Linked DNA regions of Tamandua tetradactyla. The protein of the gene in region 1 binds, or shares a complex with, the protein of each later gene. Links are inferred from orthologs where the notes say so. Each region holds a gene or a part of one and is shown on either strand. Other genes may lie near its edges.

Region 1 (8,875 bases):
TATCTGATTGTTTTAAATTACTCCAGGAAACAAATTTAAAAATGGGGAAATAGATTGGTAAATGTTGATAATCATTGAGATTATGGTCATTGGGATTAATTATTCTACTGTCTCAACTTTTTTGTATGTTTGAAATTTTTCATAATAAAAATAAAACAGAAGTGACCATGGAGTTTGTATTATATAGGACATCATCTGCATACTTCATTAATCACTGAATCTCAAACTTTTTTTTTATTTTAAACTGGAAAACAATAACCGAAACACCTCATCATGAATCCATAAGGTCCTTGTACCGGTCTGAATCTCTTGTGGACTCCAGAAAAGCCATGTCCTTTGATTCTCATTCAATATTGTTGGGTGGGAGCTTTTTATTGTTTCCATGAATCCAAATGTGTGTGGTAACTTTTCATTAGATGGGTTCCATAGAGATGTGTCTCTACCCATTTAAGGTGGGATTCCTTACTGGAGCCCTTTAGGAGGGAACCATTTTGGAAAAAGCTAGAGAGCCCACGCAACCAGAGACCTTTGGAGATGAAGAAGGAAATGCCTCCAGGAGAGCTTCCCGAAACAAGAAGCCTGGAGAGAAAGCCAGCAGATGTTGCCATGTTTGCCATGTGCCTTTCCAGTTGAGAGCAAAACCATGAACATCATCAGCCCTCTTGAACCAAGGTATCTTTCCATGGGTGCCATAGAAGGGACATTTCTATAGCCTTGCTTTAATTTGGACATTTTCATGGCCTTAGAACTGTAAACTTGCAACTTAATAAATTCTGCTTTTTAAAAGCCATTCTGTTTCTGGTATATCACATTCTGGCAGCTTGCACACTAGAACAGCCCTACATGTTCTGGTTCATATCTACCTCCAAACTCACTAAAAATGACTACTACACTGAGATGTGAAATTAGCTTTTTATTTAGTATGTATTAATTTTGATTTCTCTTTTGAAGTGTTCCTCCCTAAATTTGTGTTCTTTGATTTTCTACTAAGTCACCCTTTTCTTTATTTTAATTCAACAAACATTTTTGGAATGATGGACCAGGTTTCACTAGCTCTGAGGGACATCAGATATCAGATAGGGTATGAATACATTGTTCATGAACATATGTATATTTCTTATGCATATGTTTATAAATATATAGAAAAATATGAAAATACATATAAAATATTAATATAATAATAATGTTTGCACATATAAATAGAATTGACAAATGCTATAGTAGCTATGTGAGTGTAATGGGAACCCTAAAGAGAAACATATAATCAAAAACTTGATTAGAGAAAACATTGAATTATCTTTCTATTCTCTCTATAAAAATATTACAAATATCAAGAGGAAATCAAAGATGATTGGCAAAAAATGTAGAGAACAAGTATTGTAGAGGTATGTTGATAGTAGTTAATTGATAAAAATATTTTTCTGGATTTGGAGATGTTTATAAAATCCGTTGTTTAAAAATCTGTAGATTGTTGTGATTTTTTCTTCACATAAATACTCACTTGCATACTTAGTTTTGTATTTTTTCCTTAAACAAATCCCCCAAAGTGTATAAACACCAGGTAGCAGATAACCTGAATCCACTTGGGTGCCTACAATTTACTAGGCACTGTTCTGGGAGCTAAGAATTTATCAGTGAATATAACAGAAAACCCCCTCTCCTTGGGAATGTAACATTTTAGTTGTGGGGAATCACACAAAACAAAAACATAATAAATAAGCTAAATAGCATATTAGAAAGTGACGACAACTGTAAGCAGTTGGGGAGAGTAAGGGTGATGGAGCACGCAGGCCCTTGGGTGAGACGAAAGTGTACTTTTAAATAGGGTGTTCAGAATTCACTTCACCTAGATGACTCAGAGCAAAGAAGGAATTGGTTATTGATAATATCAAGGGAATCTAGTATAGTGTTTTAGATATTCGGATGTCATTATTCTCCTTATTCAGGCCCTGCTTTGGAACAAAGTAAAATTACCCCAAAGGCTCTGTTTTAGTTTGCAAATGCTGCTGGAATGCAATATATCAGAAATGGGATGGCTTTTAAGAAGCATGCTTATTTAGTTACAAGTTTACAATTCTAAGGCCATAAAAATGTCCAAACTCAGACATCCAGGGAAAGATACTTTGAATCAAGAAAGGCTGATGGCATCTGGAACACCTCTATCACTGGGGAAGGTACATGGCTGGCGTCTGCTGGTCTTTTGGCTTATGGTTTCAAAAGCTTCCCTGGGGGCATATTCTTTCTGCATCTCCAAATGTCTCCGTCTGTGTCAGCTCTGAACTTTTCTCAAAATGATTCCCTCTTAAAGGACTCCAGCAAGTGGATTAAGGCCCATTTTGAATAGGTGGAAACACATCTCCATGGAAACCCCCTAATCAAAAGTTCCCACCCACAATTGGGTGGATCACATCTCCATGGAAACAACTTAATAAAAAAAATCCCACCCAAACAATAGGTTAGCCCCCATAGGACTGGATTAGGAAAATGACCATGGCTTTTCTGGGGTATATAACCGTTTCAAACCAGCACAGGTTCAGAGGAGGATAAAGTTGTAACAGTTGGGCCAGGGTTAAGAAATGAACAGCTAGCTGGGGCATCTTAGAGACTGGTACTAAACAATATAGGGACACTAAAACATTCCTAGGAAATAATGAAGATTGTATTTGCTAGAAAGTCTAGAGGGTTAGACCATCAAGGGATATAGCTCTTTAGGAAATTTGGTCTGATTAACTGCTGGGTTTTGTTTTGCTTGCAGAGTGAAGCAAATATGGAATCACAGCTGACATATTCAGGGCAATACAACAAAAGCTGACAACGTTCACAAAGAGTTGTCCTTTTTCGCCTTTCTTCCCTGCTTCACATTCAATTTTTCTTGTAAATAAGGATAACAACTAAAAAAAAAACTATAAAAAATTTTTTTATACCCTGTTATTTTTATACCCTGTTATTTAAAGGGTATATTATTTGCATACCCTAGAAATAACAAAAATAGTAGAATGGTACTGTTGTGAAAATGTAAAACTTTCTTAGACCACATGTGCTTTTTGATAAGTAGCTATGAGTAGAAAAAAAAGGACAAGTTAGAGCTGGATAGGAGTTCTGACTCTGACCCTAATGCGTTCAGCCTTTCGCAAATCATAAAGAAAAAAGCTCGGTGTTATAAAATGAGGATAATAAGTTTCTTTTATGACAATTAAATGAGATAGTTTTGTTTAAATGTGCTTTTTGAATCAACAAAGTCCCATATACATTTTTGGTATAACAATAATGCTACAAGGTTGTCCATAGTAGCTTTAGTATGATCACAGGTATGAAGTATGTAGTAATGTAAGTTATAATTATCAACAAATAGTTAATGACAGCACAGAATACTATAAAAATCCCATTTATAGTCTGTTCATGCACATTAAAAGCAACCTAAATGGGAAGACTTTTCAACATCTTTTAATGGGATGTTAAAAGAAGAGAGACAAATATTTTATCTTAAAAGCAGAATAGGTATTTTGTTTTCTTACTCACTTCAGAGAATACTGAAGGAGTGACTTCACCAAATGAAAATTCAGCATCCAAAAAAAGGTCTATTTTTTTTTCCAAATTGCCACCTAAGTAGAGTGATTTTTAAATGACAGTTCTTACTGACAAGAAAAATGATCTGAGGAATGAAGGAAAATAGCCTCTGTTCAACAGCTGTGCTACCTATAGTTTATAAGCTGTGATCATTTTTCATCAGATTGTTTTGGGTGTTTATATAAAAATGAATGTATGAATGTTTGTCATTTGTATTTTTAGCACTTCTCAGAAAGGAAACTTTTCTTACATCCTATTCTTTCATAGGATGTATTCATCACACATATAAACAGTGTGATAGACTTCCTGTATGAGGAATGTGACCTTGAAACCCTAAGGTCATATACATTATAAATGTTCAACTAATCGTCAGTAATTTATTCCCAAACAGCAAATAATCTTAAATACTGAAAGATAGGACAGTACTTAAGGATGGAAGAAATGGAGGAAGGAAGAGATAATTACTTCATTTCCCAGTTCTCTGTCAGTCTTGAATACTCTCTTTGGGTATCATGCTTCTGGTTTCCTTTATCATTTTTTTTTTCACTACCGCCTTCATCACATTTATTCTTTCTTTGATTTGTGCCCTTATGCTGCCCTTGCTCTTCCAAATTTGTTTGTCCCTTATGTATTTTACATTCTATGCTCACTACATTCCTTTTTTCATTTCTTTCACTATTTTCCCCTTGTAAAGCTCTATCACATACTATTCCTGTACTATATATTTACAGAAATGTGCTAAAATACAATCGAGGAAATATTTGTGCTTCTGATTTATTGGAAAATTGTGCAAATTAAAATTTAGAGCTCTGGAGGAGAGGATCCCTTCCATTCTTAAAATCACTGAGAATTACGAAATATATAAAGGAGGACAATTGAAGAGAGCACAGAATTGGGTTCTCTTTGTACCATGACCTGTATCAAAAGTCAGCCAGTCTACGCCTAGAGAAAACTTTCCTTCTGCTCTCCTCAAACTGCCCTTTGATCAAGGCCCTTCCCACCACCTCCTTTGCGCTCCCCGATTTCCTTATTCCCCCATTTGTTTACATCCCTCCCTCCCCACAATTTGGGCCTGTTCCTTTTATTTCACTTCTACTTCCACCATTCCCTAGGATTCTTCCCAAATCTCTCCCTCACACTTTCACTCTCTTCAGTTTTCCCTACGGGCGCCCTTCAGCCCTAAAAGGCCACTGACCCTCAGGTCCCTCCCCCCACTCCCGGGTGTTGCCCCCTTCATCCACTGCTACGCACTACTGGCCGGCTTTCTTTTTCTTTTTCTTTTTTTTTTTTTTACATTGGCAGGCACCGGGAATCGAACCCGGCAAGCATTCTTACCTGCTGAGCCACCGTGGCCCGCCCCTGGCCGGCTTTCGGCCCGCCTTTGAACTCCCCACACCCTGCTCGGAGCCCTCCCTCAAGTCCCCAGCGCCGGTTCCCTCCTCGCCCGGGGGAACGACCTTCGCCGCCTAGCCGTTTCGCCGCCTCGGGCTCAGCGCTCACACACCCATCACGCCCCGGGCGTGGGCACCTCACCTTCTCCCCTCCGCAACTCCACGCGCCCAGCCCATAGACTCCGCGCTTCCCACGGGCCCCGGCCCACTTCCAACCCCTCCTCCCGGGACCCGCGCCCGCTCTGCCAGCCGCGGCTCGCCGCTCGGCGTCTCCCCGACGCCCCCCTCCCCCCCGCAGGTCCCGCTGCACTGTGGGTAGACGGCGGCGGCGTCCGCGCTGAGCAGCCTGCGGAGCAAGGCTGCGCGCGCCGAAGATGGCTGAGAAGCAGAAGCACGACGGGCGGGTGAAAATCGGTCACTACGTGTTAGGGGACACTCTGGGCGTCGGCACCTTCGGCAAAGTGAAGAGTTGAGTATCCCACCGAGGCCGTGGCGGGGGGCAGCCTCACACGTGGGAGGCCGGGCAGAGCCGCGGGAACCCCGGGCAGGCACAGGCCCTGAAGGCAGGTGGAGCGGCCGGGGCCGCGCGGAACCCAATGGCTCCGGGGAGGTGGCGCCACCGCCTCCCGAAGCAGCAGCGGCTCGAACCTGGTTGGGACCTGGTGAAGAGGGGTCGGGGTGTGGGCTGGGGGACAGACTTTCCAGTGGTCTGGAGCAAGGTGCTCTTTCTTGGAACTCAGTTTTCCTCTTCTGTGAAACTGGGAGTTGGAGCAAGAACTGTAAGGTGCCTTACAGCTCCGAGACTGTTTGGATAGGACTAGGGAATAATACACGTTACTGATTATTGTTTCGAATCCGTTCCAGGTACCCTGTTTTAGGTGCTTAACATGTGATGGTCATTTCGTCTTTACAGCAGTATGATGAGACGTTATCCTCACTGGAAAGAGGGCGAAAACTCGGATCCCCAGAGGTTTAGTAGAATGCCCAAGGTCACACAAAAATTGGCAGAAGGAGAGGATGTCTAAGATGTCTCCCAGTTCTGGCATTGCTGGGAGGTCCCTGCCACCTCCAGATTCTTTAATATTCCCCGAGCCTCTGTTGGTGGGACTGGCTGTTTAGGGGATGCCTCAGGGACCAAGAGATGGGGAATCTCCCGGACGTGTGAAATGCTGGAATGCAGCTGGGTTGGGTCTGGGCGTAAATTAGAACCGCGAGGTCTGAAGGTCGATTGGTGTGTATAAAATGATTCTGGGAAGGCTTCTTGAAAGGGGGAGAGAAAGAGGTTCCTCGCTGTTGGACTTTGGAGGATTTGGGACTGAGAGTGCCAGAGCTGCTCAAGCAGATTCTACTGAAGTCTGTTCTCATGGTGATAGGGTCCCACTTTGGGGGTAGAACTGGTTCCTTTTAGAATTAATATTGAACTTTCTTTCCCCCACCCCGTTTATAAGAGTCACCTGGGATTTAATAACGTGCCCTCTCTCCGAAACCAGAACCAGTTTATTAATAGTTCTTTGTTACAAACACAAAATTATTAGTGAAATGTTGGCTTTTTTTTCCCTTGTAGAAATGTTGGGAAGCAAAATGGAGTTTTTATTGTGAGATCTCTATTTCCTAGTAAAAATTCATATTGTAATCTGAAGTCCAGGCTGCTAAATAGGTGGTAGAGGCTCCTTGCTGATGAATTCCTGTTGCCTTCATATATCTGATACTCATTCATTTCTTCAGAAAACATTTATTGAGCATCTACGAAGTGCTATATACTGTTAATAGGCAGTGGGATACAGCAGGAAAGAAACCATATACAAATCCCTGTGTTCATGGAGCTCACATTCTTCTAGGAGGGGAAGGCAAACAATAATCAAAATACATCCGTTAAGTATACAATATGTTTAGTGTTATTGAGAAAAACGAGGCAGGGAAGGGAGGATAGGTAATTTTGTGGGATTTGCAGTTTTCAGGCAAAACCTCACAAACAAGGTCGTGGTTGAGTCAAGTTCTAAAGAAGGTTGCAAAATTCTTTGAAGTTCTATTAAGACTGTGAATCCTAGATTATTTTGAAAAACCTCATAGAGTGGATAGTTAGGAGAATGTATTTAGAACGAATATAGGAAGATCTGGAGTTGTATTTACACCTGTAATGTTACTGAGGACTATTGTATTATAACATTATACAGTTACTCAAGCAAACAACTCCTTTGCCATCTGGACTTGTAGACTCCTGAAGTTATAGAACTTACTGTGTACTTTCAAATTGTGCTGAAGTTTTTGTCTTTTTAAAATTCCTACACTGTAATCTGAATGTAGGGTAGGCCATCCATCAGCCCCATTGTTAAGGGGCAACTTAAATTTCTTTTGTATATGCTCTTAAGCTGCTGCCAGGCGTTAGCTTTTTAAATTATAAGTCAAGAGATGGAGCTTTGCTTTTTGAGAAATCCTTTTCCCGAAGAACTCCTTTCTAGTGAATAACTAGTTGGAGCAGGTCTCCTAATACTGTGAGAGCCTCTCTAAAGTTTTCCTGTGGCTTCTCATCCAGGATTAGAAGCAATACAATGGTTTGTTTAATAAAAATTACAGAAATTACTACAATTTTAATCATTTAGCTCAAGAGACAAGTAAAACAAAAGCACATGCAACTATTAAGACAGTTTTTATTGAGGTAGGTATATTTTACATATAAAATTCTTCCGTATCAAATGTACAATTCAGTGATTTTTTAGTAACTTCACTGAGTGGTGCAAACAATGTAAATGTATTTTAGAATATTTTTACCCCACCCTCAGCCCCTCTCCCTCCCTCAGCCACAGGGATCACTAATTTATTTTCTGTCTATGTGCATTTGTTTTTTTCTAGACATTTTATATCAATGAAATAATTTAGTATGGGGGATGCCTGTGTCTAGCTTCATTAACTTAATATAATGCTTTTCAGATTCATGCATAATGTAACATCTATTAGTAGTTCATTCCTTTTTATTGCTGAGTAATATTCTATTGTATGGCTACACCACATCTTGTCTCTGCATTTGCCAGTAAATGGACATTGTTTTCAGTTTGGAGCTATCAACATTTTCATGCAAGTCTTTGTGTAGACTTATGTTTTCATATTTCCTGGGTAGATATCTAAGAATGGGATTGCTGGGTTATATCATAGGTTTATGTTTAACTTTTTGAGAGACTGCCAAATTGTTTTCCAAAGTGTTGCACCATTTTATGACCCTGCCAACAATATATAAGGGTTACTATTTCTTCACATCCTTTTCAATATTTGTTATTGTTTGTCTTATTTATTATAGCCATTGTAGTGGGTATGAAATGATATTTCATTGTGGCTTTACTTTGTATTTCCCTAATGACCAATGATGTTGAACATCTTTTCATGTATCAGTTAGCTCTTCTTCATGTATCTTCTTTGGTGAAATGTCTGTTCAGATCTTTTGCTTATTTTTTCATTGGATTCTTTGTCTTTTTCTTATAAATTGAATTGTTAGAATTCTTTGAAAAGTCTGAATACAAGTCCTTTATTGGATGTCTTGCAAACATTTTCTTCCAGTCAGTTTGTATTTTATTTTCTGCTGGTGCCTTTTGAAGGATAAAAGTTTTGAATTTTGGTAAGGTGCAATTTTATCAGTTTTTTCTTTTATGGACGAGGGCTTTGGTGACATGGCCAAGAATTCTTTGCCTAGCCCAAGATGTCAGATTTTCTTGTAAACTTTTCTATTGTTTTACCTCTTAAGATTAAGTCTGTGTCCATTTTGAGTTGATTTTTGCATATGGTGTCAGGTGATGTTCTAAGTTCAGCTTTTTGTTACATGAATATCCAATTGTCCCAACATCTTTTGTTGAAAACACATGCATTTTTTATTGCTATAGATTTAAATCTTGTAAAATCAGTTTCTATTCAAAATCTTAGTAGGTGAC
Region 2 (9,717 bases), on another chromosome or scaffold:
AGGCAAAAGGAAGCAGAGGACCTTAGCTGGGTAGGCTGCCTTCTTGGCATATTTGCAAAACCAGTGATGGAACAAAACAAACATGCACATGTAAAAACCAAGAGGGTAGCTGCAGCATAAACATTTTTAACCAATTTAGACAAGTTGGTATAATGATCTAAATCTAGAAAAGCTCTAAGAAAGTAGCAATGGAAAAGGTTTTCCTGAAAAGTCACTTTGCTCAAATACTGGGGATCCCCATTTCTAATGCTAAAACTTCATCTAACAAGCATTCGTCCTTATCATGCTCGGAAAATAATACATGGCAGCACCAGATGCCAAGGAAAATGACAATACAAAACAAACAGTAACCTGCCTGTTTTACTCTTTGTCAGCCTGCCTTGGGCAGGGAGAGAGATCAGTTTAACAGGACACACAAATGTTCTCTAAAGAAACTAGCAAAACTACTGAAAAGAGATAACGGGAAACCTCTTTCACTTTGTTTTGTTCCTCTGACTCGTGACTGTGCCGAACCGCCCCTTCCTTCTCCAATGTTGCCATCTAAAAGGAGGCAGCCCACAGTAAACAAGCAGGCCTGCCTAGCAGGACACAACTTCTCCCTTCATTTTCATCAAGATTCCCAGGCCAGTGTTCTCTCCCCTGCACTAGGAGAATTCTCTCTGACAGAGAAGTTCTGCCTGACAAATATATAGCTGAATATGTGAAGTGAAAGATGTCCATGAAACAGAAACATTCTCAACAGAGAGATACTTTCTTCTAGGAAAGGGGTAACCTAAAGACAGCTTGGGTGTGAATGCTGAACCCTATGAATTATGACACAAGATTACTTTCCCATTCAACATCTATTAATAGAAACACCCTTTAGGAATAAGAATATCCGTGGATAAAACAAATACATAAACACTCCCCAGGCAATTACCTTCTTGTGAGGGGAAGTTTGCTCCAGTTATTGAAGGAACCAGATAAGTAAACTTCCTTTCCTCCCCCTGTCCATCGAAATACAGTTGGCCTAGCCTGAGTGGGAGCTTTATCATTCACTTCCAGATCATGCTGCCAGGCCAGGAATTCCTCCTTCTCTGGAGCCTGGAAACAAAGCAGTTTACTTAGGGACAGGAAGCCATGAGTGAGTTCCTTGCGGTAGACAATTACCCTAAATATTGAGAATTCATTTTAGAGAGGTAGCTATTACTACCCAGAATTACATTCAGACTCCATAACTGACTAGTCACGCCTCAGTTTCCCCATCTGCAAAATGGAAATAACAAAAATAACTATGTCCTGCAGTTGTTAGGAAAAGTGAGACAGCCCATGCAAAGTCCTCTGTACATGGTATCTGACACATGGCAGGTCTTTAATAATTGTTGGTTAAACTGCTGTTGTGATTAAAGAGGCATACATCAAAATGCTGGGGCAAGCTGAAAACACGCTTGGAAGAAGACTGCAATGAATCCAAAGCCAGCTTAATAAATGTCAGTTTCCTCTCAACTTAATTAAGCAAGATTTGCAGTGCAGGACAATTTATGAGGGACAATCCCAGAGCTGTCAATATGAAAACTGGCAAATCCAAATTCTGGGTAGGAAGGGAAAAGCCATTCCCTGAGTGCTGTCCAGGCAGTGGGGAGAAAAAGATGAGTAAGACCAAGACAGACCCCTCAAGAGTTATGCTAAACTATAATTTCATTGTGATCAGTACTATGTAACTGAGGTATGCACAAATTATTCTGGGATGAGGGAGAACAAAACACTTCTGACTCTGTTTGGGTTAAACAGATGTGATAACGGATCTTATTCTCCTAGTGAGAGGCCAAAGATTTTTAAAAAACAGGAGTTCCAGGCTGGGAGACTAATATGGAAGTCCTGCAGGTTTCCGGCACTTAAACTTATCTAAAAGATGGCTGCAATTGTTTGAGCTCTGATGAGATCTACAGATTAAAGAATACAGACTGGAATCACTTTATTACCAGGAAGGGATAAGTAACTGCAGCCAAAATGGTGGAATGGTGTAATTAAAAGAATCCATGACTTTTTTGGTACTTGGGGCACGCAACCCAGTGTGCCCACTACACGATTTAAGTAACTCCTGATGAAATGAGAACGAATAGTACTAAAAATCATTTTCCAAAGGTAATCTGTAGGCTAAACATTTTTTGCCGGAGTTGTGGGAGCAGCAAAAACTTGAAGAAAATAGTTATGGTACCTTAAATTCGCTTTTTGAAGCCAAAATTAGTTCTATGGGAAGGGATGTTAAGTTAGTGGAGAAATATGATTCCAAAGTTTGCTTTACACAAAGCTTTTCAGAAATGCAACGGATTCAGAAACTCAAGCCACAGGATGTAGGGCCAAATAAAAGTGCTTTATAGTTAGACTCAAAGCTAAGATCCATGTGAGGATATGAGGTAATTTTAACATGGTCCTCCAGCCCAATATCCAAGAAAAGACATGAATAAAATTGGAATGAGTTGCCCAGCAACTGGCCTTACGAACGACGATGATTAAAGTGCAGCCAGATACTAACAGAATATGTTGGGTGGGACGCCTTCACCCTTCCCAACTTTTTTTAAGGAACTAGTTTTTTGTTAATAGGCCATACCACACCAGTGATTAGCAGTAATGTAGCTGAAGCAGGACCGAGTCCTCTTGGGGGTGTTTAATAAATGAGAGCAATCGGCAGGAGGGAATCTAAGTTTGGTCTGCAAAATGTTTGCTTTGGCCTGTTTAAAATATTAAGTCTTGTTTAAACAAGCGAGAGAAGCTGAGCAGCTAGCTACCTCCCTCCTGCCCTTCAGAAGTCACATTATTTTTCTATGCTCACAGTACAACTAAACACCTCTAGCAACTGCAGTGAGTGGTTCAACCCTACTTTCCAATTTACTTGTGTGCTCTGGTTTACCTCCAAAATATACAATAAACTGCCAAACTTTTGCAGAAGCGCCAGTCCGCAAAAAGGCGAGGGAAGATTTTTCAAAGCTGTAAAATTAAACATACCTAGGAGAAAAGCGGACACTGGAGTTCAGTTACAGCTAGCCAGGCTCTTTTAATTAAGAATCTGAAACTGTCCCAGAGTTTGCCACTTAATGAGTTCCTCCTCCCTCGGGGTGACTTTTTAATATCGGTAATTAGACACAGGTTCCTAGATTGCCAAGAGCGCTCTCAGAGGACCATTTCACTTTTAGGTGCACAGGCTGAAGTACTTAACCTCCTCCCAGCCCATTACCCATCCGTCGGCGAGTTTCGGCGGGGCTGTGGGAAAGGGGGTCTGGTAGAGCGTCAAAGGAAACCTCATTTCCCCCAACCCTCGCACCTTAATTTCCTCGGAGTGGTAGATGTAGGCATCCTCAGGGCTGTCCATTAGGATCTTGGGCCTGTCCCCGTCCTTGGCCCCCCCCGAGCTGTCCCTCCGGTGCGTCTTATGGCCGCCCTGCCTTTCCAGGGCGGCGCGCTCGCTGCTCGTGTTGCCCATTGCTGGGCTCTGAGGGGGGCACCGGGGAAGCCGGGCGGAGCTTCACTCCAGGGAAGGAACGCGGCCAGGGGTCCCAAGGACCCTGGGGAAGGATTCCGGAGTCCCGCGGTACCACCAGCCCTCAGGAGAGGGTTCGGGGCTGGGGGCAGGTTCCGCTGGGTCAGCAGGGCTGGCGAGGTCTCGCACTCGCGCTTCCCCCTGCTCCGGGAACGGCGCAGCAAGCCCGCAAACCTACAAAACTTGACCACAAAGCACCAACACGATCCGAAACTTACCCAACAACTCCCCCACCTTCCTACTACTTCCGCTTCCGGCGCCTCCGCGACTCAGCCGGTCCGCGGGGTGGGGCCGACCGCGGCCGGCAGAGCGCGCGAGGCTAGCTTGACCTCACTTCCGCTTGTAGTTCCGTACTATGCGGCCGCGGGCGCCCTGAGGCGGCCTCCGCGGGCTTCGGAGGGCGCAGTCGCAGTCAGCCGCTCGGGGTCGGGTCTAGGATGAGGCTGCTGAGGGCCGGCAGGGGGCGCCCTAGTGCCCGGGCCTTTCGGGCTCCTCTCCCGGCGCCCAGTAGGGAGGCATTCTGTCTGCCCAGCTCCAATTAATTCGCCTCTACAGCCAAAGGGATCTTTTAAAAGTGCAAATCTAGTTGAGACCCTCTCCTTAAAGCCCTTTAAAGGCAATAACTCTCACTCTTAGGAGTGCATTAGAAGCACCTGATGTGCGTGTTTAAAATGCAAATTCCCTGGACGCTAATCCCCGGAAATTATGATTCAGCAGATCTGAAGTGGGGTCTGCATTTAATAAGCACTCCAGGTGGCACTGATGCAGGTCGCCCTGCAGTTGCTTAAGAAAAAGGGCAGATCATAAGATCTCTGGAAATTTCTTGTCTTGTGTCTCGGAAGTTGTCAAAAGCTGTAGTCAATATTGTATTTTTAACGAACTGATTGAGCAACCTTTTCAGTAATTTTAAAAGATATCTTGCAATCAATTTGGACACATCATTCTGCATAAAATGCATTCATTTATTAACATTTATAATTTACTGTGACCACTAAATGTGTGCACAAATTTAGTATTAACTTTGTAATCTTTTCAGTCACTCCCTCCCTTGTGGTAGGGTTTTGTTTAGTTTGTTTGCATGTATCTCGAAATGTTTTATAGTTGCTAGGCCTGACTGTGCAGTTGTAACTGAGAAGTTAGAATTTAAGGGATGATTACAATTACTGAATCATTATATAGATGTTCCCTTTTACTTTCTAGTATGTTAGACAGCAGAGGGAAATACCTCATATCTCTGACCTCTATGTAATCCAGCTGCCTTGATCTCTGATAATGATTTTATGACCTTTATCTTGTGCCCTTGTGATTGTAAAAATCTTGTGACTAACCTTCACTTGTACCCACTTTATTCAGTTATTGGACTTTAGAGTCTTGTGATCACTGACCACAGCTCCAAATGTTTACTAATGAAAAGTCTAGCGTCAGCCCAGAGCTAACCCACCCTAAATCCAAAGTTATCTTGATAACTGAAGCTGGATCTACCCAAAATAGGCCCACCTGACATGCGCAGTTGCTTAGACTTTAACTTGTAAGTCACTTAAACCTCATCATAATACTAAAAGTCACCCCCATCATATCAAGGCCACCTTTTCTTACATTCTGTGACTAAGCATGTAATCAATCTGTGCATGCTTAACAATCAGATCCCTTCTAATTACATCATCTGGAGCCATTGTGCTCATTATCCTAAAATTTGCCCATCTTTTAATGCTATAACACTATCAGAATTACTAAAGTCAGGGAGACAGATTTTTGGGCCAACAGGCCATCTGACTTCCTGCTTCGTGCCTTGCAATAATCTCTCTCTTTGAAACCCTGGTGTCTCAGGAAGTGGCTACTGAGCGCATAGGGCAGAGAACTCACCACCTTTCAATGGATAGAAAGGGGACTTTCACTTCTTAACACACAGTATCCACTGAATCGACATCTATTTAATATCTATAAAGTGCCAGGCATTGTGCGAAGTAAATGGGAACACAAAAGACAATACATGGTTCCCAGGAGGGGAATCTGACAGTATCTACCAAAATAAAAATGCACCTTCATTTTGACTCCTAACTTTACTTCTAGGAGACCTCTACAGACATGCATGCATGAAAATTATATTCAAGCAAGTGCATTTACAGCATCATCTGTAAGCCATATTACATAAGTCTAATTTGCACACTTTTTTCACATTTTAATATCCCTGATATTGGGTATTTCTTACAATTAACAGAATCTTAGATTTGATAAAATAAGGGAACGAAAAATTGCAAAATCTTAAAATTTTATCAGTAGAATGGCTAAATGTGCTAAATACAATCAATCATTTTATAGACTACTAAGCAACTTTTAAAAAGGAAAAATAGAGGAGGAGAGCCAAGATGGCGGCTTAGTGAGGTGTGGGATTTAGTTCGTCCTCCAGAGCAGCTAGTAAATAGCCGGAAAAAGTACAGAACAACTGTTGGGGCCACATCAGTGCCCAGACACACGCGTACCCCAGTCTGCACCATCTGGACCAGCTGCGAACCCCCCCAGAACCATGAGTCCCCAAAGCCGTGCCCCTCCCCCACATGCTGCTTCCCAGAGGGGAAAGGAAGGGGACTTTACTAGCAGCAGGGGCTGTCCACTTGAAAGAACCAGAGAAAGAACAGCAAACTGACCCCAAAGCAAGCAAAAGGAAAGAAGTAAATGAAATCGAGATCATGAAAACAATTGAGAAACAACAAAACCAGAAGTTGGTTCTATGAGAAAATCAGTAAGATTGACGGACCCTTAGCGAGGTTGACAAAAAGAAGAGAGAGGATGCAAATAAATAAAATCAGAAATGGAAGAGGAGACATAACCACTGACCTCACAGAAATAAAGGAAGTAATGAGAGGATACTATGAACAACTTTATGCTAATAAACTCGACAATGTAGATGAAATGGACAACTTCCTAGAAAGGCATGAACAACTAACACTGACTCGAGAAGAAATTGACGACTTCAACAAACAAATCGCAAGTAAAGAAACTGAATCAGTCACCAAGAAGCTCCCCCAGAAGAAAAGTCCAGGACCAGATGGCTTCACATGTGAATTCTACTAAACATTTCAGAAAGAATTAGTACCAATTCTGCTCAAACTATTCAAAAAAATTGAAGAGGAAGGAAAGCTACCTAACTCATTCTATGAAGCCAACATCACCCTCATACCAAAGCCAGACAAAGATATTACAAAAAAAGAAAACTACAGACCAAACTCTCTAATGAATATAGATGCAAAAATCCTCAGCAAAATTCTAGCAAATTGAATCCAGAAGCATATTAAAAGAATTATACACCATGACCAAGTAGGATTCATCCTAGGTATGTAAGGATGGTTCAACATAAGAAAATCAATTAATGTAATACACCATATCAACAAATCAAAGCAGAAAAACCACATGATCATCTTAATTGATGCAGAAAAGGCATCTGACAAAATTCAACATCCTTTCCTGTTGAAAACACTTCAAAGGATAGGAATAGAAAGGAACTTCCTCAACACGATAAAGGGAATATATGAAAAACCCACAGCTAACATCATCCTCAATGGGGGAAAAACTGAAAACTTTTCCCCTAAGATCAGGAACAAGACAAGGATGTCTTCTGTCACCACTGTTATTCAACATTGTGTTGGAAGTTCTAGCCAGAGCAATTAGACAAGAAAAAGAAATACAAGTCATCAAAATTGGAAAGGAAGAAGTAAAAACTCTCACTGTTTGCAGATGATATGATTCTATGTGTCAAAAACCCGGAAAAACCCACAGCAAAACTACTAGAGCTAATAAATGAGTACAGCAAAGTGGCAGATTACAAATCAACACTCAAAAATCTATAGTGTTTCTATACACTAGTAATGAACAATCTGAGAGGGGAATCAAGAAAAAAATTCCATTTATAATTGCAATCAAAAGAATAAAATATTTAGGAATAAATTTAACTAAAGAGACAAAAGACCTATACAGAGAAAATTGTAAGAAATTGTTAAAAGAAATCACAGAAGACCTAAATAAATGGAAGGGCATACCGTGTTCATGGATGGGAAGACTAAATATAAACATGTCAATTCTTCCTAAATTGGTTTACAGATTCAATGCAATACCAATTAAAATCCCCAAAACTTACTTTTCAGAAATAGAAAAACCAAATAACCAAATTTATCTTGAAGGGCAGGGTGTCCTGAATAACTAAAAGTATCCTGGGAAAGAAAAATGAAGTCGGAGGTCTCATGCCACCTGACTTTAAGGCGTATTATGAAGCTACAGTGGTCAAAACAGCATGGTACTGGCATAAAGACAGATATACTGACCAATGGAATAGAATAGAGTGTTCAGATAGAGACCCTCTCATCTATGGACAATTGATCTTTGATAAGGCAGTCAAGCTAACTTACCTGGGAAAGAATAGTCTCTTCAATAAATGGTGCCCAGAGAACTGGATAGCCACATGTGAAAGAATGAAAGAGGCTCCATATCTCACACCCTATACAAAAATGAACTCAAAATGGATCAAAGACCTAAACATTAAATCTAAGACCATAAAACTGTTAGAAGAAAATGTAGGGAGATATCTTATAAATCTTATAATAGGAGGTGGTTTCCTAGACCTTACACCCAAAGCACGAGCATAAATAAATGGAAACTCCTCAAAATTAAATACTTTTGTGCATCAAAGAACTTCAACAAGAAAGTAAAAAGACAGCCTACAAAATGGGAGACAATATTTGGAAACGATATATCAGATAAAGGTCTAGTATTATATAAAGAGATTGTTCAATTCAACAACAAAAAAACAGACAAACCAATTACAAAATGGGCAAAAGACTTGAACAGACATTTCTCAGAAGAGGAAAAACAAATGGCCAAAAGGCACATGAAAGGATGCTCAACTTCCCTGGCTATTAGGGAAATACAAATCAAATGCACAATGAGATATCATCTGACACCCACCAGAATGGCCATTATCAATAAAACAGAAAACAGCAAGTGCTGGAGAGGATATGGAGAAAGAGGCACACTTACCCACTGTTGGTGGGAATGTCAAATGGTACAACAACTGTGGAAGGCAGTTGGGCAGATCCTCAGGAAGCTAAGTATAGAATTGCCATATGACCCAGCAATACCATTGCTAGGTATCTACTCAGAGTACATGAGGGCAAGGACACAAACGGATATTTGCACACCAATGTTTATAGCAGCATTATTTACAATTGTCAAGAGATGGAAACAGCCCAAATGTCCACCAACAGGTGAGTGGCTAAACAAGCTGTACTATATACATACAATGGAATATTATGCAGCTGTAAGACAGAATAAATTTTATGAAGTATGTAACAACATGGATGGACCTTAAGGACATTATGCTGAGTGAGATTAGCCAGGAACAAAAGGACAAACACTATTTGGTTTCACTGATATGAACTAACATTAATGAATGAACTTGGGGAATTTCAGTTAAGAACTGAGACCATCAAGAGATAGAAATAGGGTAGATATTGAGTAATTGGAGCTGAAGGGATACAGATTATGCAACAGGACTGATTGTAAAAATTCAGAAATGGATAGCACAATATTACCTATCTGTAACACAATAATGTTGGAACACTGAATGAAGCTGAATATGAGAATGATAGAGGGAGAAGGCCTGGGGGCACAAATGAAATCAGAAGGAAAGATAAGACGATAAAGACTGAGATGGTATAATCTAGGAATGCCTAGAGTGCATAATGATAGTGACTAAATGTACAAATTTAAAAATGTTTTGCATAAGGAAGAACAAAGGAATGTCAATAATACAAGGTGTTAAAAATAGATGATAATTCATATTTTAAAACTTTAACTTATGTGTGAGACTAAATGTTCTAGTTTGCTAGCTGCCGGAATGCAATATACCAGAAATGGAATGGCTTTTAAAAGGGGGAATTTAATGAGTTGCTAGTTTACAGTTCCAAGGCTGAGAAAATGTCCCAATTGAACCAAGTCCATAGACATGTCCAACTTAAGGCATCTGGGGAACGATACCTTGGTTCAAGAAGGCCAACAACGTTCAACGTTTCTCTCTCAGCTGGAAGGGCACATGGCGAACTTGGCGGCGTCTGCTGGCTTTCATGTGGCTCTACCAAAAGGGACTCTCTCCAAAATGTTTCCTCTTTTAAAGGATTCCAGCAAGCAACTCCACCTTCAGTGGGTGGAGA

Evidence for each region.
Region 2: the proteins of PRKAA2 (region 1) and PRKAB1 are in contact, whole or in part, in a crystal structure (PDB 8BIK), measured with the Homo sapiens proteins. The link is inferred for Tamandua tetradactyla from reciprocal best matches to the Homo sapiens genes PRKAA2 and PRKAB1. Residues at the interface, in NP_006243.2 of Homo sapiens: Gly9, Val11, Lys12, Ile13, Thr21, Lys29, Lys31, Asn48, Arg49, Arg53, Asp56, Val58, Ile61, Lys62, Ile65, Gln66, Lys69, Val82, Ile83, Ser84, Thr85, Pro86, Thr87, Asp88, Phe89, Phe90, Met134, Met164, Ser165, Asp166; in NP_006244.2 of Homo sapiens: Pro79, Thr80, Val81, Arg83, Thr106, Ser108, Asn111, Val113, Ile115, Gln154, Val155, Asp159, Phe160, Glu161, Val162, Phe163, Ala165, Leu166, Asp169, Ser170, Lys172, Cys173, Pro186, Tyr187, His188, Gln189, Glu190, Pro191, Tyr192, Ala202.

The regions. Positions count from the first base shown.
Region 1 is NC_135328.1:164,519,303-164,528,177, reverse strand, and holds the start of PRKAA2 (5'-AMP-activated protein kinase catalytic subunit alpha-2), read left to right. Parts: upstream 1-5,284; 5' UTR 5,285-5,332; coding exon 5,333-5,426; intron 5,427-8,875. UniProt on the Homo sapiens protein: Catalytic subunit of AMP-activated protein kinase (AMPK), an energy sensor protein kinase that plays a key role in regulating cellular energy metabolism.
Region 2 is NC_135331.1:19,839,234-19,848,950, reverse strand, and holds the start of PRKAB1 (5'-AMP-activated protein kinase subunit beta-1), read right to left. Parts: upstream 3,780-9,717; 5' UTR 3,461-3,779; coding exon 3,302-3,460; intron 1,084-3,301; coding exon 920-1,083; intron 1-919. UniProt on the Homo sapiens protein: Non-catalytic subunit of AMP-activated protein kinase (AMPK), an energy sensor protein kinase that plays a key role in regulating cellular energy metabolism.